2 linked regions of the Ovis aries genome follow. The protein of the gene in region 1 purifies or fractionates together with the protein of each later gene. This does not show direct contact. Links are inferred from orthologs where the notes say so. Each region holds a gene or a part of one and is shown on either strand. Other genes may lie near its edges. The genes, in order: ASIC1 and PICK1.

Region 1 (15,972 bases):
TCAGCCTTCTTCACAGTCCAACTCTCACATCCATACATGACCACAGGAAAAACCATAGCCTTGACTAGACGGACCTTAGTCAGCAAAGTAATGTCTCTGCTTTTGAATATGCTGTCTAGGTTGGTCATAACTTTTCTTCCAAGGAGAAAGCGTTTTTTAATTTCATGGCTGCAGTCACCATCTGCAGTGATTTTGGAGCCCCCAAAAATAAAGTCTGACACTGTTTCCACTGTTTCCCCATCTATTTCCCATGAAGTGATGGGACCAGATGCCATGATCTTTATTTTCTGAATGTTGAGCTTTAGGCTAACTTTTTCACTCTCCTCTTTCACTTTCATCAAGAGGCTTTTTAGTTCTCTTCACTTTCTGCCCCAAGGGTGGTGTCATCTGCATATCTGAGATTATTGATATTTCTCCCAGCAATCTTGATTCCAGCTTGTGTTTCTTCCAGTCCAGTGTTTCTCATGATGTACTCTGCATAGAAGTTAAATAAGCAGGGTGACAATATATAGCCTTGACGTAGTCCTTTTCCTATTTGGAACCAGTCTGTTGTTCCATGTCCAATTCTAACTGTTGCCTCCTGACCTGCATATAGGTTTCTCAAGAGGCAGGTCAGGTGGTCTAGTATTCCCATCTCTTTCAGAATTTTCCACAGTTTCTTGTGATCCACACAGTCAAAGGCTTTGGCATAGTCAAGAAAGCAGAAATAGATGTTTTTTTGGAACTCTCTTGCTTTTTCCATGATCCAGCAGATGTTGGCAATTTGATCTCTGGTTCCTCTGCCTTTTCTAAAACCAGCTTGAACATCAGGAAGTTCACAGTTCACGTATTGCTGAAGCCTGGCTTGGAGAATTTTGAGCATTACTTTACTAGCTTGTGAGATGAGGGCAATTATGCGGTAGTTTGAGCATTCTTTGGCATTGCCTTTCTTTGGGATTGGAATGAAGACTGACCTTTTCCAGTCCTGTGGCCACTGCTGAGTTTCCCAAATTTGCTGGCATATTGAGTGCAGCACTTTCACAGCATCATCCTTCAGGACTTGAAACAGCTCAACTGGAATTCCATCACCTCCACTAGCTTTGTTCGTAGTGATGCTTTCCAAGGCCCACTTGACTTCACATTCCAGGATATCTGGCTCTAGATTAGTGATCACACCATCATGATTATCTGGGTCCTGAAGATCTTTTTTGTATCATCACTTCTTCCATATTCTTCCTCTTCCCAAAACGTCATGCCTCCCTCCCTGCCATTAGGGCCAATCCCAACTTCTACCCATCCTTCAAAACCTGTCTCAAATGCTACCTCCCACAAGACACGTTCCTGCTTACCATCAACTCCCTCCATGGAGCACTTCATTAGTAGCTCTTTCCTGGCAAACAGCACATTCAGTCTCCTGCATCAGAGCCAAGACTCACTTCTAATTCATCTCGGGGAACACAGATCTACCCTGCCCCGGGCCTGGTATATAATAGGTGCTCAGCTAACAGGCGGTGGCTTCCTCTAGCTCTGGGTGGTTTTGTCAGCTAAGCAGAAGCAGCAGGGGCCAGCAGGCTCCCCAGGCCAGTGTCCCTCTGCTTGCTGGCCTCCCTGGACCACAAGAGCACAGGAAACAGCGGCCAGGCCTGCAGGGGCACTTGGAAAGATGGCCGGCACAAGGGGAGCTGTATCTGCTTAGCTCATCAGTGATTCCCCAGAGTTCAGCCCCTCAACATTTTTTTAGACTCCTCTGTGCCAGGCCTTGTGGGGCAGACAGCAAGACCACTGCCACTTCCTGAAGAGGTACGCCCTTGTGCCCCAAGCTCCGGTGTGTCCACATACACGTGCCCCTGTGTGCACCCTACTCAGCCTGAGTCCCTCTCGCGACAAAGCGAGTGTCGTTGGCAAGCCCAGGCTGAGGGCCGGCTTTCCCCCAGTTTCCAAACAACTCCCCTGTCCGTGCCAGCGCCCACCGTCTGCTTGCCCTGCGTCTCCTCCTCCCTCTGTTGGGGCTGCCGCTGATGATGAAATTTGGCTTGCAACACCCTCTTCCTCCCTTTCCTGCAGGCCTGGGAGAGGATTAAGCCGCTGGAGTCTGAAATCGGAAAGATCCCAGCTTCTGCTCCCCAGCACCTCCCCACGCCCCCTCCCCTCCCCGCCCATGCAAAACCAGAAAATTAATCTCCCCTTCTGCCTGTGATATGGCGGGCTGCATTACAAGCTGGGCGTCGAGATAAAGCGAGGAGCCGCGGGACGGCGGCCCAGCACTGGGGCCCCGGGTGGGGCCGGCCTGGGAGATAAGGGCCTCCCAGCCCCATGAATTATTCACCCGCACTGCCTCCTCTGGCTCAGAGGCCGCCCAGGGCGCTGAGATTGCACCTTCCAGAGAGGCCTAGTGAAGGTGGGAGGAGGGTCCATGGGGAAGGTGTGGGCTGTAGAGGGGTCCCCAGTGGGAGCAAGAGGGGAGGACTGTCTTCAGCTGGGGAACAGCTCAGAGACACAAGCTCCTTGCAGGGCCAACTGATGCAGAGGAAGGAAAGTGTCCCCAGCCTAGGGGACCCCAGATCCAGCCATGACCCCCAGGCTGCACTATTGAGCAGCTGCTAGGGCCAGGATCGGCCTAGGTGCTTGTCGTCTAGAGCTGGAGATCCAGACCACCCTACACCAAGGTGCCCAGGACCCCATACACCTACTGATGCGGGCAGAGCACAGGCCACCCTCCCCTCCTCCGGAGGTCAAAGTAGCCACTGCCCACTCTGGGGGGACACCCTGCCTTGGGAAGGTGTTGTCAGGGGAGGACAGAGGACAGACCTACTCCCAGAGCAATCAGAGCCCACAAAACAGAGACTAGAGCAGCTGGAGCAGGAGGAAACTGGAGGTCAGGCTGCCAGCATGCTAAGCTGCTCAGTCGTGTCCGACTCTCAGCAACCCTGTGGACTGGAGCCCGTCAGGCTCCTCTGTCCACAGGATTATCCAGGCCATTTCCTCCTTTAGGGGATCTTTCCTGCGGGATTGATGCGGGATTGAACCTGCATTTCTTACGTCTCCGGCATTGGCAGGCCGATTCTTTACCACTAGCACCACCTGGGAAGCCAAGGAGGCCAGGGTTGGGTAAGGGATTAACCAGGGAAGTTTTCTGGAAAAAGAAAAGCTCCAGGTCCTTTTCAGATCTTTGTTTCTCCTTTGTTCACTCCTCTCAAAGACCTAGAATTTTAAAGCAGTGAGGGACCTTAGTGGTCTCTTCCTTATTTCCAAGTCTCCATTGCTCCATCTCTAATTACCCTCTCTCTGTCTCAGTCTCTCTCCTCCACCTCCCTCCCCACATCTGCCCTTTCAATCTGCCTTGGCCCCAGTTTCTCCTCCTCTCTCTTGCTCTCTGCCTTTCTCTGTCTTCTTATGTTTCCTCTTTAATCATCCCTTCCTTCTGAAGCTGTGACCCGCCCCCACCAAATGACAGGATGACACACAATTTGGGACTTGTGATGGGAGAAAGGTGGCCCCCAGGGAGGAAAAGAGGAAAAAGAGGGGTCCAATGTGATCCTGGAAGTGCAGATGAACCGCTAAGACGCCGGGGAGACAGCAGGGGCAGTATGGGGAGCCTCCCAAAGGTGTCCTGGTACAGGAAAGAGACTGAGTTACCTAGAGTGCCAGGAAAGAGAGGAGCTGGGAGCAGGTGAGGGTCAGAGGAGACTCCTTCCAGGCTGCAGTGCTGGGGGCCCCACCCGGGAAGCACCCTTGAACCCACTGATCCCTGTAGCAGATACGGTGCCCAGTGAACACGGCTCTGTGTTTTGAGACCCTCACTCATGTTGGAGGGGGAGGGGTGATGTGCAGAGAAGGGGAAGAGCAGAGAGCGAAGAGGGACCAGATTGAGAGGTGAACACGGAAAGGAGAAAAGGGTGAGCCCCGCAAAGATGGAGAAAGCAGTGATTTGGGTGGGAGACAGAGGAACATTTAAGTGGGGCAGCGGAGAGATTAGAGAGAGGAATGAGGAAGAGAGAAGACAGGACAGGATTGGGGGAGGGGTGGTAAGCAGGGAGGAGTGAAGGGCAAGGGTAGCAGAGAAATAAGGGAAGAGGTAAAAGGAGCATTTGGACCAGAAAAGAGAATGAAGTGGGAGATAATGAAGGTCAAGAGACAAAGTGGAGTCTGCAGGGGTAGAGGAGAGGTGTCTTGATGGGGCTTGTCTGCCTCAGGTCCACAGCCCCTTCCCACTGTCTGCTAATTAACTCCTTAATTGTCGCCACATTTGCTGAGCTGGCAGATGAAGTGATTGCAGACAGATTGGGGTGTGTGTGATTTCACGCACTGGGGAGCGGAGAAGAGCTGCTGGGAGTCCCAGGGGGCCTTACCCTCCCCCCTTCTTCTCCCTGTCTCCGAGAGCTGGAGGGCGCTTCTGCACCTAGAGCAGATGGGGCCATCTGCAAGGGAAGTGTCCGTGGGGAATTTGCCCCATCAACCTCTCAGGGATGAAAATAATACTTGCTGCTGTTGATGGAACACCTACTGTTTACCAGGCAGACATTTTTTTTTTCATCCCTGTGGGCATTAGCCAGATTTTATGGTTTGTGGAGAAAAGGAGTCTCAGATGAGTTAAGGAACTTGTCCAGGATCACACAGCACTGGTGTGACTGAGGTGGGATTTGAATTCAGGTCAGTATGATGCCAAAGCCCAGGGTGGGTCCTAGCCAGATGCCTTGTGCAGAGGAGAGAGGGATACCTACAGGCCTATTTCTCTCTCAGCCCCAGAAGAGAAAGGCTGCCGAGGTGAAGGGACTGCAGGTGCCAGAGAGGAGGAAAGTGTGGACAAGAAAGTGGGAGGAAGCTAAAGGAGCTAGGATCTGTCAAGGCCTGAATAAGAGGGAGGTGGGCCCAGAGAAAGAGAAAGAAGAAGCGTGACACTAATCACAGTGCTTGGATCCCTCACATGTCATCTTACCAAAGCCAGCTTCCCTTTCCTCTCATCCCTGCACCACAAGCCCCTGTCAGTAGGACTTGCCCTCCTACCACTTGATGCTGGTCCATCCTTCAATTTCACTCCTGGTTTTTGCTAGACTGGAGTCAGTTGTCAGCGTGTTCATCTCTCCTTTGACACTGAGAGAATTTGGCCCATGACTCCAGGGCCAGTCCTGGGGCTGGACACAAGAAAAGCCACAGTGGAAGTTTGCCAAAATGTACAAGGATCCCTCTCACCTCAAATGAAGAGGAAACAATAGCCGGAGTCTGATATACAGGAATAAATAACCAAAGTTTTGATCCAGACCTGTGGATTCTGAAGATCTAGATTTCTCAAGACTGACTGGTATATATCACAGATCTTGAGAAGTTGGGAAATCTGGACCCCACCTCCAGAGATTCTGATTTAATTGGTCTAAAGCGGGGCCACGGCAGCAGCATTTGAAAAAGCTACCCAGGTGACTCAAATGTGCAGCCTGGGCTGAGAACCACTGTCAGATTCTACCCTGATGTGGCTGCACTGGTGGTTTTATTACTGGATTCAAACAGTAATGCTAATAATAAGTTATTACTTATTGAAGATTTCCTGAGTACAAGCTAATGTGCTGAGCTGTTTCTATGCATTAGTTCATGTAATTCTCAGAATCTCCTGTGAAATAAATATTATCCCCGTCTTACAGATGAGGAAACTGAGCTCAGAAGACCTGCTCATTCTACTGAATGGCGGAGCCAGGTCTGGGACGTGAGATTGCCCGAGTCACACTCTTACTTCCCCCCAGACTCCTCCTGAGGCTGCTCCTTGGCCTCAATCAGTCCTTGCCTGCCTCCACCTCACCTCATCACCACCCCCGCTGCTCCCTCAGTAACATCCCAGGTGACTGAAGCAATTTGCAGCCATTTGAAGAAGCTCCATGTGTCACTCAGCCTGCGAGGGTGGGGAGCTAGGGGAATTACAGATGCTTCAAAATGGCCCACCCCTCCTCCTGAAGTCATTTGGAATTCAGGAATCAGACTCTGCCCAAGATTTCCTCAGATCCCTGCTTGGGACCCTCCCAGGCTGAAATCCCATTCCCAAATGCCCCCCTTCGTGGATTCTAAGTATCTGGGAGGGTGCTGCCACCCAGTGGCTGCCCGGACACATGGCGACTCTTTGGAACAGCCTGGTGCTGCTGGACAGCTCCCCAATCCAAGAGGAGAATCTAAGATCCTCCCTTCCTCTTGGTAGCACCTTGACCAAGAATCTAGTCATTGGATCCCAGTCTCCCACCTCCGCAGCCCTAAGCCTACACTCCCTCTTGGGATCTCCAGCTCCCTTCCCTGTAGTTCCATGTGCCCCCTGCCCCCAACCCCTCACAACTTCTCATCCAACTTTTTTTCTCCGTGCCAGCCCCTCCTCATTATATGCTCTGGTTCTGACTTAAAGCCCTGGGAACACACCTCTCACCTCCCTCTCCCAGAGCTGCACCAGCCCACAAGTGGAATGAAGGAGGGGCTAGAGATAGAATTCTTGTCCCCACACTCCCCTCCTCATCATCTGACACCATCAGACCTCAACAGCCTTCGTGCTAAGAGCCCCTAATGAGCATTAGCAAATTAACAACTTCCCTTTGATTGCTCTTACTCTGTTAATTGGATAGGGAGGGCCCCCCAAGGCCTCTTAAAGAGGAGAAGGGAGGAAGAGGAGAGAGGTGAGAGCTACAGGAGAAGACCCCCCCCCCCCCACAGGCCTGGTCTTAGTGGCTCAGAATTTAGCTCCAAACCTGAGTACAGCTTCCCCTTCCATCCCTTCCTCTCCTGTCCACCTCCCCCAACCCCCAACCTCCCACCTCTCCCCATTCCCTTCTCTTTCCCTGTTTCTTGACTTCTGTCCAAATTCCCTTGACCTCTGGCTATTTCCCGTTCCTTCTCTGCTTCTTCTTTAGAGGTCTGGCAATGAGAAGCTGCAAACCTGCCGCCGCCTCCCACCCCCAAGGCAAGGCCAGGGTTACCAGGATGGGGTTTCTGAGGCCAAGGCTCTGTGTTTGTTTATATATGTACATGTGTGTACGTGTCACTTGTAGGTGGGGAGCCAGGATAAGAGCAGGTGAATACTTGTAAGCTCATGAGTTCCTGCTCTGTGGGCCAGGCCTCTGGGGTGTGTGGGTGTCTGTGGGGGGTGCATGTAGGTAGCTGTGAGTGGCGTAATGTGACTCTGGTCTGTATATGTGTCTATGTCTCCGCACGGGCAAGCGCTTGAATCAGTCAAGTGTGACTCGGAGCTTGTGTGTGTGTGTGTACGCGCGCGCGCACACGCGCTTGTGTGCCACCAGAGGAAGCAGCAGTAAGAGGCAGGAGCATCGATCCGAAGGAGACGGCGCGGGGAGGGGGACGCTGGGGGCAGACACCTTCCCTCCCGTGCGCGCGCGCGCGCGCGCGCACTCACACACACACACACACACACACACACACACACCACAGTCAGACACAAGCCACAGGGCCTCGCAAGCAGGGAGACGGCTCCGGGACCCGAGGGAGGCAGCGCCGCCGAGCGCGGCCAGGAGGAGGGGGCGAGGCAGCGGAGGGAACCCTCGATCCCGTTCCCCGGTCCGGGGTCCCCGCGCGCACACCGGCCCAGAGACACCCTCGCAGACACTCGTAGGCGCGCACGCGCACCCTCTCCCCTCCCCCGCCGCCTCCCCTCCCGCCGCCTCCCGGCCGGACGATGGATCCCTGCAGATCCCGGGGCTGAGAGCACCGCGCACCGCGCCGAGCCCGGGCGGACCGAGCCGAGGCGAGCGAGGGAGCGCGCGCGGCGGGCGGGCAGACGGAGCCGAGCCGAGCCGGGCCGGGCGGGCCGCTCCCTGCAGGGCTCTGCGCGGCGTGCCGCGGCGGCCGCCGGCTCCCGCTCCGGGCCATGAGCCCCTCCGCGGCTCGGCGCTGAGCCCGCGTCCGGCCCCGCGCCCCAGGACCCGCCGCCGGTTGCCGGGTTCCCGAAGCCCCCTCAGGTGGGTCTCCGATTCCCCCGCCTTTGGCTGCGGGACTCCCCAGCGTCCGGAAGCCGGGACTTTCCTCCCTTGTCGCTTTCCCCAGCTTCTGGGGCGCCTCAGTGGCTGGGGAGGGGGGCGGGGGCCGAGCAGGGCATCTGGCTGCGTCGAGAAGCTAGACTGGGGTGGGGGGGTTTGCGTCCGGGGCGGGGACAGCTCGTTGTCATAGGGAACCGCCCCCCCCATTTTTGTGCAGCCACCTCGGGCTGCCCTCTACCCCCCACCCCCCACCCCAAACATGCACACAGACAGCCTGTGCCGTTCTGAGAACTGGAGACGCCTGCAGGTGTGGACACAGGCTGGGCCCCTCTCTGCCTCCCTGGGGGTTTCTGACCCAGGTTTAGCTCGTGGGGTCGAGGGCGGGGATGAAAACCCAGTCCTGGGGACACCCTTGACCAGGAACTCCTGAGGCCGGGTTCAGCCCATTTGGGGGAGTTTCTGTCTCCAGGATGGGGTGGACATTCCTGTCCCAGAGTGACCCCACATCTGGAGGAAACTCCTGTGCCTGCCTGTGGGAATATGGGGACTTCCCTCTCGTCCTCGGATGACCACATCTGGGGTCACCCCTGGCCCAGGAGGCTTCCCTGGGAGGGCATTCTTTTGGCCTAAACTGACCCCCAAGTCCCTGCATTGGCAGGAACCCTCTTCTGGGAGGGTGTCCACGGGGCAGCCACCTTTGGGCTTGCCCACCAGAGAAGTCTTCTGCCCCCAGAGGCAGTGACCTCTGGAGGGGGGAACTCACCCAGATGGACCCAATTGAAGGGACGCCACGTGTACTCTCAACCCAGGGCAGTGACTGACTCCCCACCCCTCTCCCCCCAGATCCCCTCGGCCAGGATGGAACTGAAGGCTGAGGAGGAGGAGGTGGGTGGCCTCCAGCCGGTGAGCATCCAGGCCTTCGCCAGCAGCTCCACCCTGCACGGCCTGGCCCACATCTTCTCCTACGAGCGGCTGTCTCTGAAGCGGGCGCTCTGGGCCCTCTGCTTCCTGGGCTCCTTGGCTGTGCTGCTGTGTGTGTGCACCGAGCGTGTGCAGTACTACTTCCACTACCACCACGTCACCAAGCTCGACGAGGTGGCTGCCTCCCAGCTCACCTTCCCTGCCGTCACGCTGTGCAACCTCAACGAGTTCCGCTTTAGCCAAGTCTCCAAGAATGACCTGTACCACGCCGGGGAGCTGCTGGCCCTGCTCAACAACAGGTGGGGGGCTCCTACCCATCCCCACTCCCAGACACCCCATCAGGGTGCTTGTTCTCTAGCCTGCCATACAGCCTAGACAACCCTGCCCTCCAGCCCCCGAAACCTGCCACTCGCAGCAAAGGAATTGGGGTACTGCCAAGCACCCAGTTAAGGGCAACCAATCTCTGATCCCAGCGTGGTTCAAAACAGCTCTGCCCTTATCCAGCCTGAGCTGTGTGACATGGTCACACTCTCTGGAGGGACCTCTGCCCACCCTCTTGCTACTACGTCTCAATTTTCTCCTCTCTTGGGAGATCTGGGCATACTGTCTTTAAAGGGTAGAAACCATGGTATGAAAGCCATAGTGCCTGCCTTGAGCTCTCTGCCCACCCACCCTTACCCCTGTGCTCAGATGCCCGACCCCTGGGCAGCCAGTGCAGATCCTCTGTCTTCTCAGATCCCAGGGGGCAGATCCTCTAGACACGCCCAGCTCTTCTTTTGGGCCTCTGCCCAGGGCTGGATGCCACCCTTCCCCCAAAGTTGGGCATGGGACACTGGAGGCAGAATGGAGGCAGGAACTGAAGATCCTGCCAACCCATGCACTGCTCACCCCTGGGCTCCAGGTATGAGATACCAGACACGCAGATGGCAGATGAAAAGCAGCTGGAGATACTGCAGGACAAGGCCAACTTTCGCAGCTTCAAGCCCAAGCCCTTCAACATGCGCGAGTTTTATGACCGCGCAGGGCACGACATCCGAGACATGCTGCTTTCCTGCCACTTCCGGGGGGAGGTCTGCAGCGCTGAGGACTTCAAGGTGGTGAGTGAGTCCCCTGGCTGGCAGGGCGTGAGTCAGCCGGACCCCTGAGGAAGAGGAGACTAGGAGCCAGAGGGCCTCTGGGGAGGATGTTGTATGTTCCTAGGGTTCACTGCTGGCAGAAGGGGGACTTTGTTTAGTTCAGGGGGGCATTTGCTGTTAGTGAAGGCCTCGGCCTTGTGTCTGTGATGGCAGGAAAGAGAGCCTACAGTGCATAGATGTGTGTGTATGTGTGCATGTGTGTGTGCACACACAGCCTAGCAAAGCCCCCCACCCCATCAAGCTTACCTTCTGGGCCACAGGTGTCAGAGCTTGGGGTGGCAGTGGGTAAGCTGCAGCCTTGTTACTCAAAAGGAGGTCCAAGGACCACCACCTGGGAGCTTGAACAAAAGGTAGAACTTTGCCACCCCATTTCTCAGCCCTACTGAGTCATAATCTGCAGCTTAACAAAATCCTCAGGTGGTTTGAGTTAAAGTCTGAGCTGCAGCATGAAACATGGCAAGTAAGGGAAGCTTTCTCTTAAAAAATTGGACAGGTAATTCCCTCTGTGCCACCCCTGCCCCTGGCCACACAGACACACACAGACACACAGACACACACAGTGTCTGGTTGGGTTCCCCCCTGGCCACACACACACACACACACACAGTGTCTGGTTGGGTTCCCCCCTTGCCAGCACACACACACACACACACACACACACACACACACACACACACACACACAGTGTCTAGTTGGGTTCCCCCCTTGCCAGCCCATAGTCAGGGTCTGAGGAAGAAGAGATGATTTGGGGCTCATAGCATGGCTGAACTGGAGATTCCCTTTGCTTCTTGAAGTAGAGATGCCCCACAAATACTCATACCCCCCGCCCACCACCACAGATGGGCCTGACTGGCATCTCATGTGACAGGTGATTATGAGCAAGTCATACGGGTTGCTGGAGGGTTAAAGTCAGGCAGAGTGTGGAAAGGGACCAGAGGAACTGGAGCCATGTGTGAAGAAGAGTACCAAATGTGAGGATGATGCCTGGAACTCTTCTGAATACTCTCTAGGCTCTCCTTCAATCCCCTGGATGAATAGTCATATTTATCTCTATTGAACGAGTGCATAAGCTGAGACAGAGAGGTAGAATGAGTTACCCAGCTCACAGAGCTGGTTAGTGAGAGACTCAGGATTAGAACTCATGTCTTATTCAGTCCTAACGCAGTGTGCTCTTTGCATTAATATTGCTGACCCTGGAGTTACCATGTTCACTTCCAATTCTGGCCATTGCTCTTGAAAGCCCAGTCTCCTTAGGACTCTTTTTCTCTCTATGTGCGTGTGTGTGAGCTGCTCAGTCGTGTCCGACTCTTTGCGACCCCACGGACTGTAGCCCCGCCAGGCTCCTCTGTCCCTGGGATTTCCCAGGCAAGTGGGTTGCCAGTCCCTTCTCCAATTTTCTCTCCATACCTGCCCCTAGTTCTCCACTCTCAGATCCTCCCCCTTTGCTCCCTGCCCATTTTCTCCCACACTTGATTGCTTCCTCCCTAGCATTAGGGGAGCATGAACTGCATTTGTGTAGAAAGGTTAGAACCATGGTCATGCTTGTTTTTTCCTCTGAAGTTATACAAGACTTCCCAATCTCTTTAAGCCTTGCTCTGAGACCAGTTTCACGGGCCTTTGTCAATCCTGCTGGACAAAGCTTACATGACCACAGTCCTTGCTGAGCCAAGCTCATAGGGAGCTTAGTGTGAGGCAAGAACCATTTCCTTCCCACTTTTTCTTCCTCAGAGCAGGTGAGTGCTAGATTCCCCAGAGCCCAAGACCAGAGGGCTCCCAGACTCACCAACTGTATTTCCAAGGGTAGTAGAACTATAGATGAAGGCTGAAATGAAAGCCAGAGCCCTCCTCCTCTGCAGCGTATTTCACACAAGCAAAAGGGACCATCAAGAAAGACAGAGGGATGACCCTGGGGGATGGGATGGGGAGGGAGGCGGGAGGGGGGTTCTGGATGGGGAACACATGTGTGCCGTGGCTGATTCATGTCGATGTATGGCAAAAACCACTACAATATTGTAAAATAATTAGCTTCCAATTAAATAATTTTTTTTAAAAAAGAGGGGATTTCTCTAGTGGTCCGGTGGTTAGGACTCTACGCTTCCACTGTGGGGAGGGGTGCAGGTTCGATCCCTGGTTGGGAAACTAAGATACCACATGCCACGCAGCCAGAACAATTTGAAAAAAAAAAAAGAAAGAAAACCCATTAGATCGAATGGTTTGTAGTGTTTGGATAAGGACAGGAATTTGTTGGCTCGACCTGGGAAGGTGCTAAGGCAAAAAGTGGGGTTACCATTAGTTCATAGAAAGTGTACAGTTGAGGCTTCATTCGTCCTTTATGTCCAGGAAGATTCCAAGTGGTGATGCTAACATATATTTGGTTCATGGAAATTGAGATACTGAAATGTGATCGGTCCATGTTGTCTGAAGGGACAACCCTACACAATTAGATGGAGAGATGATTGGTCCACAGAGTTCCAGAGCAATGAGAATTCTTCTTCTTGCTGGGGAGAGATACCTGGCTAGAATCCCACAGCCCCAACACTGGCACTTCTTGGTCCTGGGTTGTCGGGGAAGATTAGGTTTTTGCTGTTTCTAAGCCCATGTGGAAGACCTGACCCTGAATCTAGCTGGATCCAAACTTCTCAGATCTTCCTTCTACCCTCTCAGGTTGCCCTCACTGCAGTCCCTTTCTACTCTGCCCAAAGGGATGTCCCTGCACATGGGAGTCTGGCTGACATCTCCCTGGTGGAGAAGGGTGCTGGCATTCTCCAGCTCTCTGGCCCTAAGGGGCACAAACACTCATGCGTGATACTCCACCTTCATCCTCCTTAATTAACACCTGCCTCTCCATCCTTGCTAGTCTCTGCTAGGCCAAGAGGCGTGTACCCAGCCCCTGGACAGATGAAGCACTGACAGAAAACATCTGTCTGTCAGATCAGAGCTTAGGGAGACCATCCTGGCGTCTTTTGTTCCCGTGAGAGTAGAGGTTCTTAACCAGGCATCCAGTGCCAGCTCAATGGGTTTGCAAAATAGAGCATGTGTGGACACATGTGAACTCTTCCACAGGTTCCGGGACAACCTTCATCCAAAAACAGGACCCCTGAATCTGGAGGATGGTGCAGGGGGCATAGGAAGGGCATCCTGTGGTCCACCAGCTCCCCCGGTGGGGTCTACCGTCACAAGCGTTCTCCCCAGATCTGCTTCTGAATCCTGCTCAACCTCGGGGATGACCTGGTGGTCGAAGAAGTGGCTTGGCCAGGTCCATCCCCCAGTGGTGGCAGAGTCAGCTCAGGAGAGTGAGGGGAACCTGGGCTAAATCTGGGAGAAGCTGGTTTGGAAACCTTTGGGGACTGAAAAGGCAGAGGGCCATGGGGAAGAGCTCCCCACAGCAGCCCAGTTGGGTTGACCTCAATAGCTTTCTCCTGAGCTACCAGAGACCCACAGGCCCCATCTTTCCTGGCCTCCTCTTCTCCTTCTTGATGGGGTGTTTGGTTGCCAGGGCAACAGGGTCTGAGACTCCACTCACCCACCCCACTTTGAGGCCAGCCAGGGCAAGGCAGGGCAGGGGTTCCATGGAGGAGGCTGGGGGGCGCAGCTGTCTGCTGGTGTCTGGGTGGGGGCCAGGGGGGAGCGAGCGCAGTCGCAGCTGGTGCCAGCCTCCAGCTGCACCTTATCTGTCCCTGGCAGTGGGAGCGCCGATGTGGCTGGAATGCTGAACAGTTCCAAGGGGAGGGGGCTGGCAGATGGTGGCCTAGTGTGCCCTATGCCACCCCCCTTCTCCAGCTGAGACCCAGAGCCTTCGCCTGGGGGAGAGAGAAGTGGGAATTCATCTCTGAACCCTGCGAGAGATGGAAGGGAGGGGCAGAGAATGGAAATCCCGGGGTGGGTGTGCAGGGGGATAGTCTTCTTTCAGGAGGGGGTGGACTTGGGGACAAGGGATAGGGGACAAGAATCCCTGGGGGACCCTGGAGTGGTGGCAGAAGCCTCTCAGAGGAGAGGTGCAGTGAGGAGGTAGACAAATAAATCCCCTCAAGGCTCTGGACCTGGACAGGGAGCTTCTGGAGCACCTAGGGGAGGTGAGATGCCGATAGAGGGGGCGATCCTGGGACCCAGAAGCGAGCAGAACCAGGCATGGTCGGTCCCAGGGAGAGCCAGGACTAGCAATAAGAGCTTCCTTATCTCCAGGGCTGGCTCTGCCAGTTCACTGACACCCCTCACTCCACACGACCCCACAGCAGCTCAGACCTTGGATCCCTGGGGAGGGCCTGACCTCACTCCCGGGGTCTGTTCTCTCCAGCTGGGCAGGGAGTGGAGGGGGTGCTGGTGGGGCGCTGCTCAGACTGCTGCTCTCAGAGGAAGGAGGTTCACTGGGCTACCGTGTCCAGAAGCCTGGTGGTCTTTGTCTGTCGGGGGAAGGGGGTGCGGATGGGGGAGCATGCAGGGATTCCGGAGGGACAGGAGGAGCTGGCGGGCAGAGATTAGGTTTGGGGAAGGGGCACCCCGCCCTCAGGCATTCTTGGGTACTTCCATCTCTCCCTCCCACTCTCAGAAGTGTCTGAGGTTAGAGGGGAGGTGACTGAATAGAGCCCATTGCAAGAATCCAGGGGACCCTGCATTGAGGTCTCTCTCATAACACACGACACATACACACACACGAATCCAGGGGACCCTGTATTGAGGTCTCTCTCATAACACACACCCACACACACCCCCTTGGGTGACTCAGTTTCCTCTCTCACTTCCTCCCTCTCCTCCTCCCCCATACCTTGCTGTTTCTGACTCCACCCCTCTCCCAGACTGCTGTCAGCTAAGGGGTTACTCTAAGTTAATTGATCTCGGCTGTTGGCTAAAGTAATAGGGAGTTGATGTAAGTAAGTGCCACTGGGGGCAGAGCCGGAAATGGAGGGGTGCGGAGGAGCCGCTTCCAAGCCTTGGGCTTTCTTCTGCCCCAGCCAGCGGAGCACTACCTCTAAGGTGGGGCCGCCTTGGCACCTGGTGTGCATCCAGGAAGCAAAGGGGAGGCCTGCTGAGAGGTCTGAATGTCTCTGCTGGCAAACTCTGGAGGTGGCTCGGAGCATGCTTCAACTTTGTTGAAGGCAAACTGAATTCCTGGGGATGGTGAGGGAGACTGGATGTTAGGCACGAGTGCTGGGGTTGGGAGAGTCAAGCTTCGCTGAATTCCTTCCTGTGACCCTCTGAGGACCTTAGAAGTGCCAAGCCCCGTGCTGGGCACCAGGGGGCAGTGGTGAGCAGGCCGACGGTGTCCCTGCCCTCAGGGAGCTTAGAGCCATGTGCTGTAACCCCAGGAGGCACAGAGGGCAGGGGTGGCGCTAAGGGAAGCCTAAGGGTTTCAGAGCAGAAAATCACGTGCCAGGCATGAGAGGTCCCTCATCATCTGGGTGGAGTCCTTCCAATCTCCCCAGCCCAGCTCAGCTATTCCGAATCTCCAGTTCTACAGAAAGTATGGTGTCTCCCCACCCCAGCCTCCTCCCGCTGACGACCAGTCTAGTTCTTGTCTGTGGTCAGGCTCCGGAGGCAGGAGCTGTCCCTCACTGTTCATCTGAAGTGGCTCTGAGAGTCTGTACCCTCCGCTGAGAACCTTGGGATCAGAATTCTGGCGAGGGGTTCTGGGAGGCAAAGCAGGGAAGGAGACAGCTCGCAGGAGAAGGGTGTCTGGTTTGGGTGGAGGGTGCAGCTGGGCACTGGCGCTCCTGGGATCTCTTTTGGGCATAGTTTCATCTGGCTCCATTTCTCAATTTCCTCTGAGCCAAGGGGGCTCTGAATGGATTTTTAAATTTGCCAGGGGGCAGCTTCTCCTTCAGCTTCTGGGACTCTCTGGCTAGCCCCTGCTGGCTCACGGGTGGAATGGGTGTGCAGTACATTTCCCAGATATGGGCATCAGACATCTTTGTGGAAAATTTTGAAATGATCATGAAACTGCAGTGTAGTTTCAGTCACCTTGAGGGGAAATTCCCTTAGGAAAC
Region 2 (15,360 bases), about 79 Mb from region 1:
TCTCTGCCCGAGACCCACACATGCAAACCTAATAAGCAGGAAACCACCCCCTCCTTGGCCACTGTGGGCTCTACCCACCTCTCACAGCCTCTTGCACCCCTCCTGTTCTCCGGATGAGCACAAATTTCATTTTCCAAACAGGGACACACTGATGGTGACAAGGGTCACTATGAATAATCCCACTAGGATCATAGGTGTGGGCCAGAGCTGTCCAGGAGAAGCAAAGACATGGAGTACTAGCGTGGCACCACCCACTGGGTCCCTCCCCTTTGGCCCTGGCAGAACAGGTGGCCTGGGATGGCCAAGGCACCCTTAACTCTCTCCTCATTTGGGGCCTTGGATCTGCCTGACCCAGTATCTGTCCCGTCTTTTCCCAAATAAAGGTTTAGTTCAAGGGTCACAGAGGAGAGAGGATATAAAAGGCTCCACAGAGCAGAAAGCCTGGGAGGCAGTGGGGAAAGTGGAGTCTTCTGAACTTGACAGCTCTGAGTCCAAATCTCACTTCTTCCCCATACACCAAGGGGCCTTGAGCAAGTCTCTTCTTGGCCTCAGTTTCCCATCTGTACATGGGGACAGCAGTGTTCATCCAAAGAACTGCTGTGAGGAGTCAGTGCCATAATGGCAATGTTGGTGAGCCCCTCTCCAATGGTGTTGCCCCTCTCCGTGATCAGGGCAGCAGAAGAGGGGACATCGAGGGGAGAGAGGGTCTGAGGCCACTGCAAAGAGCCTGGCTCCATCTGGGTTTGTGTTTATTCAATACAGGCCCAGTGCCCAGGCCTCCCCAGGGAAGTGGCTGAGCCAGGGGAATAAAATAAATAAAGGCTGCCGAGGTGAGTGTGGACGGGGGTGGGGCCAGCCTAAAGAGAGGCGAGGGTGCAACGCTGGCCCCAGCTCGGCTGGCCACCCGCGGGCCCCCCGACTCCTGGCAGGCTCGGGGTGGGGCCGGCGGAGGTGCCCACGAGCAACGAATCCTGGAATCCTGCCACCTCTGACCCCTCTTCCTTTCTGCCCTCTCTCTCCTTCCTAAGGTAGGTCGGGAGACTAAGCTCTCTGGCTGGCTGGGGAGCTGGGGGTGGAGGTGAGGGGTGGAGAGGGAGGGGGCCAGGGCCGAGGGCCCAGGCCACGGCCCCAGAGCTCATCCTGGGCGGGCAACCCGGGTTCGCCGTGCAGGACAGAGCAGCAGGGAGGCACGCGCCCCAAGCCAGCAGGCCTTTATGCGCTGCACACCCTGTCGTGCGGCGGCCCTGCCCCCGCTCCCGAGCTGCGTCCTCCCGCTCACCCTGCCCCCCGGACCCACACCCCGAGGGGGCACTCAGGAGTTACACCAGCTCCCGCCCTTGTCCAGGGGCCCGGCAGCCCCTCGCGAATCCCTGGGCGGCTCCCCGGCTGCCGTGTCCTCCTCGTCTTCATCCTCCTCGTCCTCGCCGTCCGTGAACTCGTCCTGGCTGAGGCCGTAGGCCAGCGTGGTGTGAGCCAGGTCCACCTCGATGGGGAAGACGTCGGCGCCACGCAGCACCGAGTAGCAGTCGTTGTAGTACTTGGACATGGTGGACACGAAGCGCTGCAGCTGGAACACGATGTCCTGGACTGGGGCGCGAGGGGCAGCAGACAGCGCCGGTGGGCCAGGCTGCCTGCACACAGGGCCCCACCGACTCCGCCACCCTTGGGCTTCCCTTTCATGCACCTCACTGCCCCCTGGCACCCTCGGAGGGGGCCAGGCCAGCCAGGGCTGCCCAGCCCTGCACAGTACCCAGGCCTCCCCGCTCCCAGTTCAGGGAGTAGAAGAGAACTGCCAGGGTGGGGTAGGGCTTGGGGATGGTGGGACTACACCCCAAGGAGTCCACGGGACACGGCCAGTCCCACCCTGGCCAGGCTCTGGGACGCTCCCATCTCGGGTCTGACTCAGAGTCAGTCTGCCACGGGCTGTCCCTGGGAGCTCGGGTGAGTGCTGGACCTCTCTGAAATGGGGAGGAGGATGGTGTCGGGGGGCCTCGCAGCCCCTCACCATGCTTCTGGTCGAGCAGCTCCATCTTTTCCAACACGTCTTTGCGCATCTGGGAGAAGCGGGCGCGGGCCTCCTGACGGCAGCGCAGGATCAGGCGGTACTCGTAGTTGCCTGTGCTCACGCGGTACAGGGGTTCCCCGAGGGCCTGGGCCCGGGGGAAGCACGTCAGGGACCCTGGGCAGGCGGCAGGGGTCGGGGGGTGGCGGCAGAGAGGCTGCAGAGAACCCGCCAGTTCGCAACCCCCCCACCACACGGCACTTTTCAAAGCTGCCACCGTTCCCCGTTTCTGAGACGCCTGCAGTTGCTAGAAGTGCTTAGGGATAGCTTTGTGAAAACAAGAACAAAAAAAAACCCCAGACTCTTGCCACATTAAATGAGTGTTGAGTCACAGATGGACCCTGCTATCAAAAATATTACAAAGTAGCAAGTGAAAAAAACCCAGCTCTCAGGAGTGAGAGGAAGGGCATTTTTTTTTTCCTGCAGGAGCCTCACCAAGTCTAGAGGGCAGCTGGTCTGGGAGCAGGCAGTGGGGATGGTTCCACGGCAAAAATGGCCAGCACTTGGGAGGCCTGCAGAGGCCACAGGGAGGGACGGAAGGACAGCCCCCAGATCTGCACAAACAGGAGCCTGGCCAAGTCCCCAGGCCTCTCCTGGGCAGGCCCGCCCCACCCCGTGTCCCTGGCAGGCCCAGGACGCTCTTGGGGCTCTGTGAGGCAGGCAGGGAGAGGCGTGTGCACCCCGAGCCACTCCAGGACCAGGGCCGTGCTCCCCCACCCCACTCACAATGCAGCTGTACTCCTCGTCGTCCATCTCCTTGACCTTCAGGCAGTAGGACTGTGGGGCGGGTGAGGCCAGGCTGTCAGGGGGGCTGCACCACCTGGGCGCGCACCCTGATGGCCCCAGTTCCTCCCATGCCCCCCTGGAGCCCTCGGCCACCCAGAGGAGCAGCCGTGCCAGGCCTTGTGGGCCCTGCACACCCTGAGCTGGAAAGAGCTGAGACGTGTGGGGAGAGGCTGGCCCTTGCCCTGGAGGCTCAGGGTGGTGAGGGCACTCATCAGGGACGATGGAAAGGGCCCGAGAGCCCAGCGTTTACACCCAAGTCCCAACAGATGCTCTGGGCTAAAGGATTCAGGATCCAAAGAACTTGAGGAAGCCCCTGAAGACCCACGTTACACATGGGTCTATCGAAGGCTCTGACAAGTCCTGAAGCAAAGGACCTGGGTGGGCCTGCTCAGTGGAGTATTTTTCCTCAACTCCTTTGACCGCAGAATTACCATTTGATCATAAGACTCATGAAAATCCATGTTACAACCAGTGAGCTAGACTGATCCACTGTTAAAGGGTGACTGAAGAAAATTCCCATGGGGTCAGAGTGGGTCCCGAGCAAGGGCGCCACCCACCCCAGATCTCCTCTGAAGAGTCAAGGCAGGGCCTAGGCTGCTGCCTGAGCCCCGAACACCTCCCTAGGGCCCTGGCGCCACGCCCCCAGTCAGGTGTCACCAAGGTCCTGGCCCTGACCCGTTGGCCGTCAAGCGGCCGACTGAAGAGGAACAAACCTCCAGGTGGGCTCTGACCCCAGCAGGCCGGGCCCACACCACCGCCCCCCCAGGAGGCCGGGGCCCACTTACCAGGTACTCGAACTTCACGTCCAGGTACTTCTTGATGGTGAGGCGAGTGTCCGGGATGGCTTTGTTGAGGTACGTGTTCAGGTCTGCCAGCATCTGGAAGGGGAGGTGGGGTGGACGCTCAGGCCCCCTGGGCAAGGGCGGGTGAAGGCTGGAGAGGGCGACAAGGAGTGGCACTGGTGCGTCCACCCTTCTAGTGGACTCAGGTGTCAGAGCCGAGGGGAGATCCCCGACTGCCCTGTCCATTCCGAGGAGGAGACAGCCCAGGCCAAGGGCAAGTTGTAACTCTGGTGGGGCCAGGGCCGGAAACCAGCCTGGAGGTCAGTGCTGAGGTCGTGGAGGAAGAAGGACTCAGCCACGGTCAGCTGTAGCAGCCCACCCCCAAACCAGCCCCTAGGTGCTCCGCCTCCAGAACAAGACACTCCGCTGGCCACACTGCTCCTCCCCGCTCACCTACGGACCCACGCACGCTCCACGTGACCTACCGGCTTGATCGTCTTCAGGAGCCGGATGCCAAACTTCTCGATGCTGCGGTGGGCATCGGCGAACTTCACAAAAGCCTCACTCGCAGCGGGCTGGGGCTCCCGCACCCCGATCACAGAGAACACGTCCCCAAAGGCTGCGTGACAAGTTTGTTCTGAAGGCCGCCCCTACTTGACCCCTTTACTTGACCCCTTAACGGAGAAGCCAGGGATTTGTTGGGGAGAAGCATGGTGGGGGGCGTGGTGGGTCGGAGGTTGAGGTCTGCTGGTGGTCTACATCCCAGGGAGGTGGGTCTAAACCTCAAGAAAGGTGGATCTACACCCCTAAGAGCTGGACCTGTACCCCCAAGGAAGGTGGGTCTACATCCAAGGAGCTGACCTGGTTCCTGAAGTGACCAGACCATGCGAGGAAGACAGGGTCAAAGTGGAGTAGGTGAAACTGTCTGGGAGCAGAGTACTAGTCTAGGAATCTGGTCCTAAGGCCAACCCTGCACCTAAGGAGCTGGGTTACTGCTTCTTCTACCTGGGCTTTGTCTTCCCAGCTGTAAAATGGGATTAACTGAAGCTAACAAACGTGTAGGAAACATGATCGGGAATAAGAAAAGGCCTTGTACATTGTAAGCAGCAGTATAGACAGGACAGAGCCTGCACGGGGATCTTCTGCACCCCACAGAAGCTTAGCTGGTCGAGAGGCTCCCCGCTGGCCCCATCACCATCACACCCCCAAATCTGACATGAGGTCAGATGCTGCAGGGTCTGCTTGAGCTTGGGCAGCAGAAAGGCCCCAGAGAGAAGTTCGCCCTCACCCTCCCCGTGGGGTGTAGGGAGGTGCTGAGCCCAGAGTGCAGGGTTTTTTCCAGGGTCATGTAGCAGGATCAGGGCATCCTTACCCCGGTGCGTCTGTGACAGCTCGTAAAAGGCCCGGAGGAGGTTCTTGGTGTGTTCTGTCATCCCTGTGGGAAAGACCCAAAATGAGAGGGACAGGACCACACGGTGGGGATGACATTGGTCCAGGACACGGCCTCCAAACCCCCACCCCACCCGAGGCCCACACTGTCCTTGAGGTTCAGGCTTTTCTCACTCGGTTTACGTGTGCCGTTCTTTTTTATGGGCACATGTTACTTTTATAATCAGAAAAAGCAGGTCTTTAGATTTTCTTAAGAATTTTTAATGACTACGGTCCTAGAATTGTGTGGCTGGCACCCTGCCCCTCACTGCCATCACGTTTACAGCAGGGCTCCAGAGCTCCACCTCGGGGAGAACCCGGGCCAGGCACTTCTGGTGCAGTACCCCACCCACCCAGGGCTGCTGGCGGGAGGGTGTGCCTGCCCACCTTTATACAGCTCGGCGGTCCGCTCCAGCTCCTCCAGCCTCTTGACGAGCCCATCTGTGGGGATCAGAGAGCCAGGGGTGAGGGGAGAGACCCAGGGATCACTGGAGCCAGGCTTGGGAGAGGCGAGGTGGCCCCCAAAGAACCAGGAACAGAACAGGACAGGGTCCCAGGGATGGGGACTGGGCACCTCAGGGCGGCTGGGCTCGCAGGTGTTTTGTGACGAGCCCACTATACCCAGACAAGGCGGGACAGCAGGGCGACCCTCAGGAGGCTGTGATAAGCACCACCCCAGGAGGCTGGGACATGGTGACAAGGATGCGGGTGCTTCCAGAAGTGAGGAGTGAAAACTGGATTGGGCCCTCCCCAAGGCCATGCCCAAGGGTAGCTGCCCAAGGCCGGTGGAAGGCAAGCCCCTGCCTAGCAGTCAAGGACCTGGCCAGAACTTCCAACACACGCCCTGCCAACGGCTAGGAAGCAAGGCAGTCAGAGACAAGTGGGAGAGACGGGATGCCTGACAGTAACTCTTAAGGTAGGCTCAAGGCAGCCCGCCACCACCTGGCAGCTCAGAAGGGACAGCAATCTGGGAGGGGAGAGAAAGGCAGGAAGGGCTTTGAGGAAGAGCTTGCACTGGAGTGGGCCTTGGCGATCGTCTTCACTGGCTTCACAGGTGTTTATCCTGCACCCACTATGTGCCAGACCCCGTGTTGGGCCAGGGAATGACCTTGGTGAATGAAATCTGAGTGGTGCTTTCCAGGCTCCTGGTCTAGCGGTGATAGTGGCCAGGCCATGGCTGGCAGGGGCAGTAAGGGCTGCCAGGTGAGGGATGGGGGCAGCTGCCTCACCTCCAGGGCTCAAGATAGGAACAAGTGGATGACCAGGGCCGGGGCTGCATTCCAGATCAGGGTGGGGCGGGGCTCCGGCCAGCAGTGATCACCACCCTCCTCCACTCTGATAAGGGTGAGGCCCACACCCACCTCCCCACCAGGAGCACGGGCAGCAAGTGTGGGGCAGGGTCCATGCTGGTGGCTGCCTGGCCCAGGGCCTCCTAAGACAGAGCCTGGCCTCACTGGAGCCCCCCACCCAGCTCAGTCCTTTCTCCACATGAGCTTTTTGGGGCAGATTACTTCCCCCATCTTATAGGGAAAACCAAGGTTCAGACAGGTAAAGCAACTTGCCTAAAGGTGCGCAGCGAGGGCTGTGCAGGCCAGAGTGCCCTCTGCCCCCTCAGTTTCCTGTGCTGACCTGGGCCAGGGTTTTCTGAGTGGGAGGAGAGGAAGGGTTGTAGAAGCCAGGTCTGGATTCTTAAATCTGGGCAGAGAATGCAGTGTGTGTCAGGCTGTCAGGGAGGAGGGTTTGGGTTCTAGGGGTTGGTGGGGCGCTCCTTAGAGGTCTTCAGAGGCTTCAGCCACTGGGCTGGCCTCCAGGCCCCAGCGCCCCAGCACCCTGGCGCCCGGCCAGCCTGGCAGTGAAGGAGCCACGTAAGCGCCGTGCTGTTGTTTTTAGCTGGGTCATGGGACATCATGACAGCTTCAATTTTAGAAACCCTATTTAAGGCTGGGGAAATTGCAAGGTTTGGGGGGGAAAAAACACAACAACCAGTTCTAATTTCATCTCGACGCATGGTAACTACAGTAACAGGGATTTATAGGCACCAAGAAGCTGGAAATAGCAGCCGCCACTTTTGTACACCCTCTGGAACAAGCTCAGACCCCACCCCCGATGTCCCAGCCAATAAAGCCCAGTGCGCCCAGCTGAGCCTACAATTTATATTGGTATTTATATCTGTCCCCACACGTACACAGCAGAGCTGCTGCTATTTATAAACTTGGGCTGGTGACGGCGGGAGCGGGACTGCGTGTTTCACTGGTTCCCCCCACCCCCCGGGGAGAGCGCGTGTGCACACGCATGGGTGGGTGTGAGCGTGTGGGGAGAGAGTTGTGTGTGCACAGGCATGTGTGGGTGTGAATGTGCATGTACTCAGTTTTCCCGCTGCGGGAGGCGAGCACAGCCACCTCCAGGTCTGAGCAGGAATTGCTGGGCAGCAGCACCACCTCCTGGAGAGAGGCGGGGGGCCGGGTAAGCAGCCCGGGAGCAGCCGGGACGTGCTGGGGTGACGAGAGGGCACAGGGTAGAACTGGGGCTGGGGTGGGGGAGGCCTGGCTGTGTGAGAGCACCTGGGGGGCAGTGGCGAAGGCACCAGCTTGGGGAGCTTGGCAGGAGGCACCTGCCCACCAGGAGTCTCTCATCTGTGACTTGGGCCTATCTGTGAACCCCTGCTGGAAAGCGGGGGGACACGGGCTGTAAGAGGCCTTCACTGTGCACTGTGGGTGATCTGTGGGAGCTTGGGGAGGCCTCCAGGGAGGCAGAGAGATGGTGAGTATTGGCCCCACCAGCAGAGGCCTGGCCCAGGCCAGCGGGACACATACAGGTCTGGTGGGCAGCCGTGGCACCCGAGCCCCGGAGGCCTGGGCCTGAGTCCCCTGGGACCAGTGGTGGGGCTGGGAGAAGGGGGCTCACCATTGCACAGGATGGCCCGGCTCAGACCCAGAGCATCTGCCGTCCCCGAGCTCATGTTCTCGACCAGCCGATGCTTCACCTTCTTCAGCACTGGGACCAGGTGAGAAAGGACTCATGAGGTGGAGTCTGGGCCCCCAGGGCCAATCCTGCTCCATCACGACTCACTGGGAGCAACAGCAGGGCCGGAACTGGGGTTTGGGGTGGGGGTGACTATGAAGTAGGGAGGGTCCTGGCGGGGGGTTATGGGCTTTCTGGGCTCCCTGCCCTTTTCACTCTCTACTTGAGAGAGGTGTTGGGAGCCTGGAAACAATAAGTATGTAAGGCACTTAATTGAGGGTCTGGCACTCAAAGTGGCTATCGACTCCCACTGAAGTCCAGAGCTGCCTAGGCCTGACACTGGCCTCTTTCCTTAAAAACCAGAAGGCAACTGTGGCCCAAGGGTGGAGGGAAAGGGTGCTGGGCCCCAGCGCCAAGAGATCTGGGTGGGCTTTCACCTGGGGGCACAGTGCCTCCCTGGGTCCCGGGCTCTGGTGTGCAGTGAGGTGGCTGGTCCAGAGGACCTCGAAGCTCCCATCTGGCTCCTGAGCCTGGAAGCATCTACAGAGCCAAGGCCCAGCCCCCGAGCAGGAGGTAATATGTCCCAGGGCATGCTGTGGGCAGCAGGACTGCCCTCTGCCCCGAACCTGAGGGCCTATCCAGACCCTAAGGCTTTCTGGCAGCAGGTGGGCAGAAGAGGCCAGGGTTGAGTGGGGTGTGCAGGTGGGCAGGCGGTACCAGGCAGGGCTGGGCTGCCCTCCCCTTTCAGAGTGGTGAGGGACTGGGCCTAGTGAGCTGGAGGGCTGCCCTACGGCATGCAGGCACCAGAGCAGGCGGTCGAGGGAGGTAGGGGAGTGAACCATTAGGCAGGGAGAAACCAGAGACGGGTTCCGGGGAGCACCCCTGGGTCCTCCCAGCTGCTTTGGATTGGCTTGGTCGGAGGGTCAGAGGGCACAGCCACGTGACCACTGATGCACTGTCACAAGGAGACAGAACGGGGGCTTGCAGAGCCCCTGGACGCCACTGCCCCGGCACAGCTTACCAATGTCCAGGGACATGCCCTGCTTGGGGTCCGCCTGCAGCTTGTTGTAGTGGATGGTCACCTCCCCCTGGAAGAGGACAGCAGAGCTGTGATGGAGCCCCTGGGCCCCAGCCCCTTCTCTGAGTAGGCCTGTTTGCCCTGGTATCTGTGGTCATCAAAGAATCCTGAGCACGGGGAAAGGGTTCCTCCTCCTCTCTCCACCCACCAGGCCCCAGAAAATCGGCAGGGACAGGGCAGACAGGGTCCCTGGGGTCACAGAGCTCACAGCCGGGCGGTCTGTGACACTGCGTGCCCCTGCCCTCCCCCATGCCACGGCCACAGTGCAGACCTCTGCCAGGCCACTTTCCTGTCCTCTGAGAGGATCTTCTAAACTAGCCCCCTTCTCAGGAGTCCTGCCATTCGCCCCACAAACACGTCCGAGCACTTTCTCTGTGTCAGGTGCTGGGGTGCTGGGGAGCAGGTGAGAGGGTGGCTGCAGCCCCCCAGAGCCCGAGGCCAGCAGGAGAGGCCGATGCAATTCGCGGAATTACACCAATCGCAGTCCAGTGACTGGACGAGAAATAGCCGGCCTCCCTCGAGAAGGCTGCCCTGACCACGTGAGGCCACCGTGGTCAGTCTCATGCTTGAGATCCTAAGACCCTTGAGCTGGGGGCTGAATTCATTCAGATACAAAACAGAATTTTAAAGCTGCATCCTGAAGGGAAACTAGAGTGAACTGAGGCCATGAGTCGGGGGGTGGGAGCGTGCAGAAGGCTGCCTGGCAGGGTGCTCAGGGCCGCCACAGAGCACGGCTGTAGGGGAGGAAGGAGCACCAAGGTGGGACCAGATCTGGGCTCTGCTCCAGCCGTGCGACCACAAGCAGCTCCTTCCCTCCTGCAGGGCACTGGTGAGATGGGTGCCCAGATGTCTGCCAAACGTGGGGGCTGGGGAGTCCCCAGGCAATGGCAAGGCCATGCGCACCTGCCAAGAGCTCCTATTCTCATGGGTAATGTGAGAGGCTGGCGTGAGACAGGCTCGGGAGGACAAGGAGGGTTCTGGTGGGTAGAGACAGGGGAAATGAGAAAAGGGATCCAGAGGGGGGGGGCACACGGACCCCAGCTCCATATCAGAATGAAACATGGCCCACCACCTCCCATGATGCGCTCCTCTGCCCAACAGGAAATGCCCAGGGCAGTAAACTCCACACCAGGCGGAGCAGGAGAGGAGAACAAAGGGGAGAGAGTGGAAGCCGTGGGTCCGGGGCTAAGGTAAGAAGACGGACTGTCAGGGATGCTGGTACCAGGCCTTTAAGACACAGAGGATGGGAGGGAAGTGAGGAGAGGTCTGGCTGGATGGGGTGAGGGAGCCCAAACACTCGACCGAGCTCAGCGGGCAGCCGGATGCTTGACTCTCAGAGCGTTAAATCATCCTGCGGCTTTGCACCTTCACTGTTTTGGTTTTGCAATAGCTGCCAGCAGCAAAAATCTCCAAAAACATGGCAGAAGGGCTGCATGCTTTTGGGCGTGGCAGGAGAGAGGGGCTCTGTAGGGAGAGGACTTGGCCTAGAGCAGGGCGGGGGAAGCAGGAAACAGGCAGTGCAGTCTGGCCTGCTGAACAGGACGCCAGCAGCTGGACACGGAGCTGCCCTGGTGCCCAGAGGGGTCCCCGGGGTGATGTGTGAGACCAGGAGGACCCACAGGACTGCAGGTTCCTGCAGGGAACGGTAGGTGGGGTGCCTTTTTCCCTCTCACACCCTCTTGGGCCCAGCATGGCTCAGAGGACGCTTCCTGGGTATCTACTGACCCGGGCAGGTGCACCATGGACTTCTAGCTTCAGCTCCAGCCCTGACTGGGGACACGCTGGCTCACCCCGAGGTGTGGTTCTGAGTCTGGCAGCTCCCCTGGGAGCTCGAGGGCAGGACCTTTGAGTCGTGGTGCCCACTGTCTCACCAGGGCCCAGCACAAGTCCTGGAGGTAGTCAGCATCTCCCAAATGAACCCGGGGGACACTGGAGGGGCTGGGATGTGACAGATCCCGAGGTGCCGAGGAGGGAGCTAGGTGAGGGCCAGGCCCCCTGCAGGCCCGCCGAGGCCTCGGGCAGGCTGGGGTCTCAAAAGGGCGCGTGTGCCCGCCGCCGCCGCCGCCGCCGCCTTACCTTCACTTCCTGAATCATCTTTGCCACCTCCACCTTAGTCTTCCCTTTGATTGACCTGCCATTGACCCCTGTGATCTCATCGCCAGCTGCCACAGTGCCATCCAGTGCGGCGGGTGTGTTGTCAAACACCTGTGGGTGTGGAAGGGGATGGACGGGAGGAAAGGAAAGCTGGGAAGAAGGCTGGCGCAGGCGGGCATGCCCTCCACCCCAACCAGCACCAGCCCTGTCCTGGTCTCTACTCTGTCCCTTACGTGGCGAGGAGAAGGGCAAGGCGAGAGAACACCCCAACAGCCAGATATGAATGACCCACCTTCTTGGGGGAAAGGGAAGGAGGGCAGGAAGTAAATGTGACTGATAAGACGTCCCTTTTCTGATATCAACTGCACCCAACCTTACACACCCACTGGAGGCTTTGTTCCTCCAAAGTCATTTGTTTAGATTTTCCAACAACGCTGCTCGGAGCTGACTGGGTGCCAGAGCACCACTGATCAATTCCTGCAACCTCACTGCAGTCCCCAAGGAGCAAGGGCCCTCACACACACGAGCCCCTTCTCCCCAAGTGACCCCATCCAGGGGGTTCTGTGCTCACTGGCTCAATGTGGCTGAATGTGTCTGTTAAAAGGACAGAGACAGGGGGAGACACTCAGGATGAGCAGGCGACAAAAGTGTGTGCTGAGTCCCACAGCCCCATAGTCCCTGTGGGGCCCCAAAACACCGGCAGCCAGGCTTACCTGGAGCCTGGAGCCTCAGGAGCCTGGCGGGGGGCCCCACCCCAGGGCCCCCCCCCACCCAACAGCTCCGCAGGAAAGGCCTCTCTCTGTGGGCGCTGGAAGACTGGCTGACGCCCCGCAGCGGAACCCACCAGCTGACTCTGCCACCACACAGAACTGTGAGACCCGTCGTGACTGTGAGGGCTCGCTCTTAGATACAAAGACAGGCGGGGAGTACTGGGCCCTTGAAAAAGTGTCCCATGTGAAAAACACCAAAACATTTAAATAGAAAAAAGAACCACAGGAAACAGGAACAAAACAGGGGCAACCATATGAAAGATTATGAAAATAAATGGAATAATATGAAATATTCTAATATTTATGTAACATGAAATATTTATATAATATAAACATATTTCAGATATATTCATCTTATATAATATGAAAATAAAAAGAAAACTGCAATTAACATCCTCACAGAGACCTGAAAAACAAGAACACGATGATGTAAAAGGATCATTTCGGAAATAGGAAAACACAAAACATAATTGAAATGGAGAATGCCAAAGGAACTTTGGAAACCAAGCAGTGGGAAGCAAAAAAGAGATGGTCAGAAAACAAGAAAAGGAATACTAAAAGATCAATGGAGGAAGCCCAGAGTCTAACCAATAGGAAGCCCAGAGTCTAACCAATAGGAAGCCCAGAGTTTAACCAACAGGAAGCCCAGTGTTTAACCAATAGGAAGCTCAGAGTTTAACCAACAGGAGTCCAAAAGCGAGAACAGAAAGCAGGACAGCATCATGGATAATATGTGAGATGCAGAAGAGAAAGACATGGGGTTTCCAATGAACCTGCCCCTTGAGGTTCCAGCTCGACAGACAGAGAAAGGATCACGCCAAGAGCCGTCGTCACGATGCTTCAGAATGCCAGGGATGAAGAGAAGTGCCCAGGAGTTCTCATGGGCCAACAGTAAAACACGTTACTGCAAATAAAGGCTCACAAGTAAGACTGGCATCACCAGACAGGACAACTATGCTGATGGCAAAAAGACAATGAAATGACACCAGCCAATTTCTAAGTGAAAATTATTTTCAACCTTGATGTTCATTCTTGAATTTGACCCACTCACGTGTCAACTGAAATGAATATGAGAATAACAACCACAAAAAACAGAACGAGACCCTTACGGAGACACAAGTTCTCAAAAAATTGACCGCCCTAGCAGCCTTTCTCGGAAAGCTACAGGAAACATGCTCCACCAACGTGGGGAAGTAAGCCAAGAAAGAGGGATCCTGGAGATGAGGGAATCCAGTCCACTAGAGGAGAGGGAAGGGGTCGTTCAAAGAGGAAAGACCAGCGGTGGAGGACAGAAAGATGATGGGAAATGTTTGCGGTAAATGTACTGAAAACACAAGGAGAATGCAAATGGAAAAAAAAAGAAATTACTTGTTTTAAAAAAAGAAGATTGAGTTAAGAAAAGAATCACAGGCTTTCTCAAAAAATTAAACACAGAGTTAGCATATGACCTAGAAATTCCGCTCCAGATTTATATCCAAAAGAAATGGAAACATATGTCCACACAGAAACTGGACATGAATGTTTATAGCAGTGTTATTCGCAACATCCAAAAGGTACAAACAACACAAATGTCCATGAACAGATGAGTGGGTAAACAAGTGGTGGTCTATCCATCCCGTGGGATGCTCTTCAGCCATGAAAAGAAGGAAGTACTGAAATGGGCTGCAACGTGAATGAACGTCAACGTGACATGATCACTCAAGGGCACGGGTGGTTGTCTGGGTGATGAGACAGTTCTGAAACCAGAGATGGTAGCTGTATTCCATGAGCGCACTAAAATAGCACTGAGTGGTTATACTTTAAAACCACTATTGTATGCTACGTGAATTTCACCATAATAAAAATATTTTTTGAAAAAGTACACAGAAGACCATTAAGCTCGGTACCTAGAATGCACCTTACTGTGCTCTGAGCTCTCTGGGTGAGGTGGAGAGGAGGGCCTCTGTTTTCTTGCTTTAACTCTAGTGTCTGCAAGATACCCTGGCCAGGCCCTGAGGAAATAGTCCCCAAACATGAAACCTATTGCACTGACACAGACTGGATCAAAACTGACAAGGTCACCGTGCTAGGAAGATGGAGTGGGAGGAAACAGTGGTTTGGGAAGAAAGTTAAATTCTTGTCTCCTTGGCTGAGAGAAGCTGATAGATGTTTACAAGGGACAGATCAAGAAGTAACGGGATAAGCATCTTACTGAGAAAAAATGGGACCTCCAACCTGAATCTACAGCTAAAAGGGTGGGAAGCAGTGTTGCTTCTGGGATTGGGTGGAGGCAGGCCTGGGGAGGGGGAAGGGCGGCAAGATGGGGTAGAGCAGGGAATTGCTTATTTGACATTGGCCTTTTAGTACTCTTGACTTGTTAAAAGCAAGTCAGAGAGTCTTTGATTAAAAATAAAACTGAATTTTGAAAAAATCAATTCTACTATTTATAATCACAGTTCACACTAAGGACAAACCTGGCCCTCAGCAGGGGGCGGGGATGGAGGGGAAGGTGGCACAGGAGGCCGAACAGGCAGATTTCGAGGAGGTCAGGCCTGGGGGAGGCCTCCCCAACACCTCCTGGGTCAGAGGAGGCCAAAGGGCTTGTAAAGGCCACATTCTGAGTGGGCAAGACCAGATCCAGGGAATCTCCATCTTCAAGGCCTTAGAAGTGACTCTTTTGCAAGATCCTCAGAGAGACTGATGTTTCTCATCTGCCACCAATGGCTACTTAGCTGAGAAGGTTAGAATAGAGCAGAGTCCAGGTCAAGTTGATGTCTACGGGAGCAAGCTTCCTTCCAAGACTAGAGAGATCACTGACTCTGACCAGCCCCACAGTAAAGGAGGCCAGTCCCCACTTGCGAATCACAGATGACAGAACATCACCAGGACAGCTCCTGTGCGATAAGGACCACAAACTTGTAAAGTGCCGCTGGCAGATCATCTGGGAGAGTGAACGGTCATAAAAATAGTAACAGCTGCCATTGAGGGAGTGCTGCTTAAGGGCCAGAAACTGCGGGATGTCATCGTTGAGTTCATTCTTCACAGCAACCCAAAGATCCTCAGACCTACGCATTTTACATCCCCAATTTCCAGGTAACAAAACTGAGGCCCAGAAAGGTAAACAAGTTAATAAGCAGGGAAGCTTGCATTTAAACTCAGGCCATTCATAGTCTTTTAGGCTTTCTACTATGCTTCACACTTGTGTTAGTACTAAAGGTTGATGGTTTTGTTGATTCATTGGCAACACTGTTACTGAAGGTCCACTATTTGCCAGGCATTGTACGAGATGCTGACTGCAGTGAACAAGCAAACTGGGATCCTGCCTTCATAGTGCAGAGAGTCTGGAAAAGTGGCTAGATACAGAATTAGTGAGCAAATCCATGAGAGTACAGATGGTGGTAACTGCTGAGAAGGAAAAAA

Evidence for each region.
Region 2: the proteins of ASIC1 (region 1) and PICK1 purify together in Homo sapiens (affinity purification with western blotting; 3 studies listed by BioGRID and IntAct, with this or other methods). This does not show direct contact. The link is inferred for Ovis aries from reciprocal best matches to the Homo sapiens genes ASIC1 and PICK1.

The regions. Positions count from the first base shown.
Region 1 is NC_056056.1:136,245,730-136,261,701, reverse strand, and holds the start of ASIC1 (acid-sensing ion channel 1), read left to right. Parts: upstream 1-7,714; 5' UTR 7,715-7,916; intron 7,917-8,777; 5' UTR 8,778-8,792; coding exon 8,793-9,154; intron 9,155-9,756; coding exon 9,757-9,952; intron 9,953-15,972. UniProt on the Homo sapiens protein: Forms voltage-independent, pH-gated trimeric sodium channels that act as postsynaptic excitatory receptors in the nervous system, playing a crucial role in regulating synaptic plasticity, learning, and memory.
Region 2 is NC_056056.1:215,667,015-215,682,374, reverse strand, and holds the end of PICK1 (PRKCA-binding protein), read right to left. Parts: intron 13,326-15,360; exon of another isoform or gene 11,303-13,325; coding exon 11,174-11,302; exon of another isoform or gene 10,199-11,173; intron 9,108-10,198; coding exon 9,041-9,107; intron 8,053-9,040; coding exon 7,963-8,052; intron 7,522-7,962; exon of another isoform or gene 7,328-7,521; intron 5,975-7,327; exon of another isoform or gene 5,500-5,974; coding exon 5,446-5,499; exon of another isoform or gene 5,066-5,445; coding exon 5,003-5,065; exon of another isoform or gene 4,250-5,002; coding exon 4,116-4,249; intron 3,727-4,115; coding exon 3,634-3,726; intron 2,840-3,633; coding exon 2,789-2,839; intron 2,151-2,788; coding exon 2,006-2,150; intron 1,588-2,005; coding exon 1,313-1,587; 3' UTR 733-1,312; downstream 1-732. UniProt on the Homo sapiens protein: Probable adapter protein that bind to and organize the subcellular localization of a variety of membrane proteins containing some PDZ recognition sequence.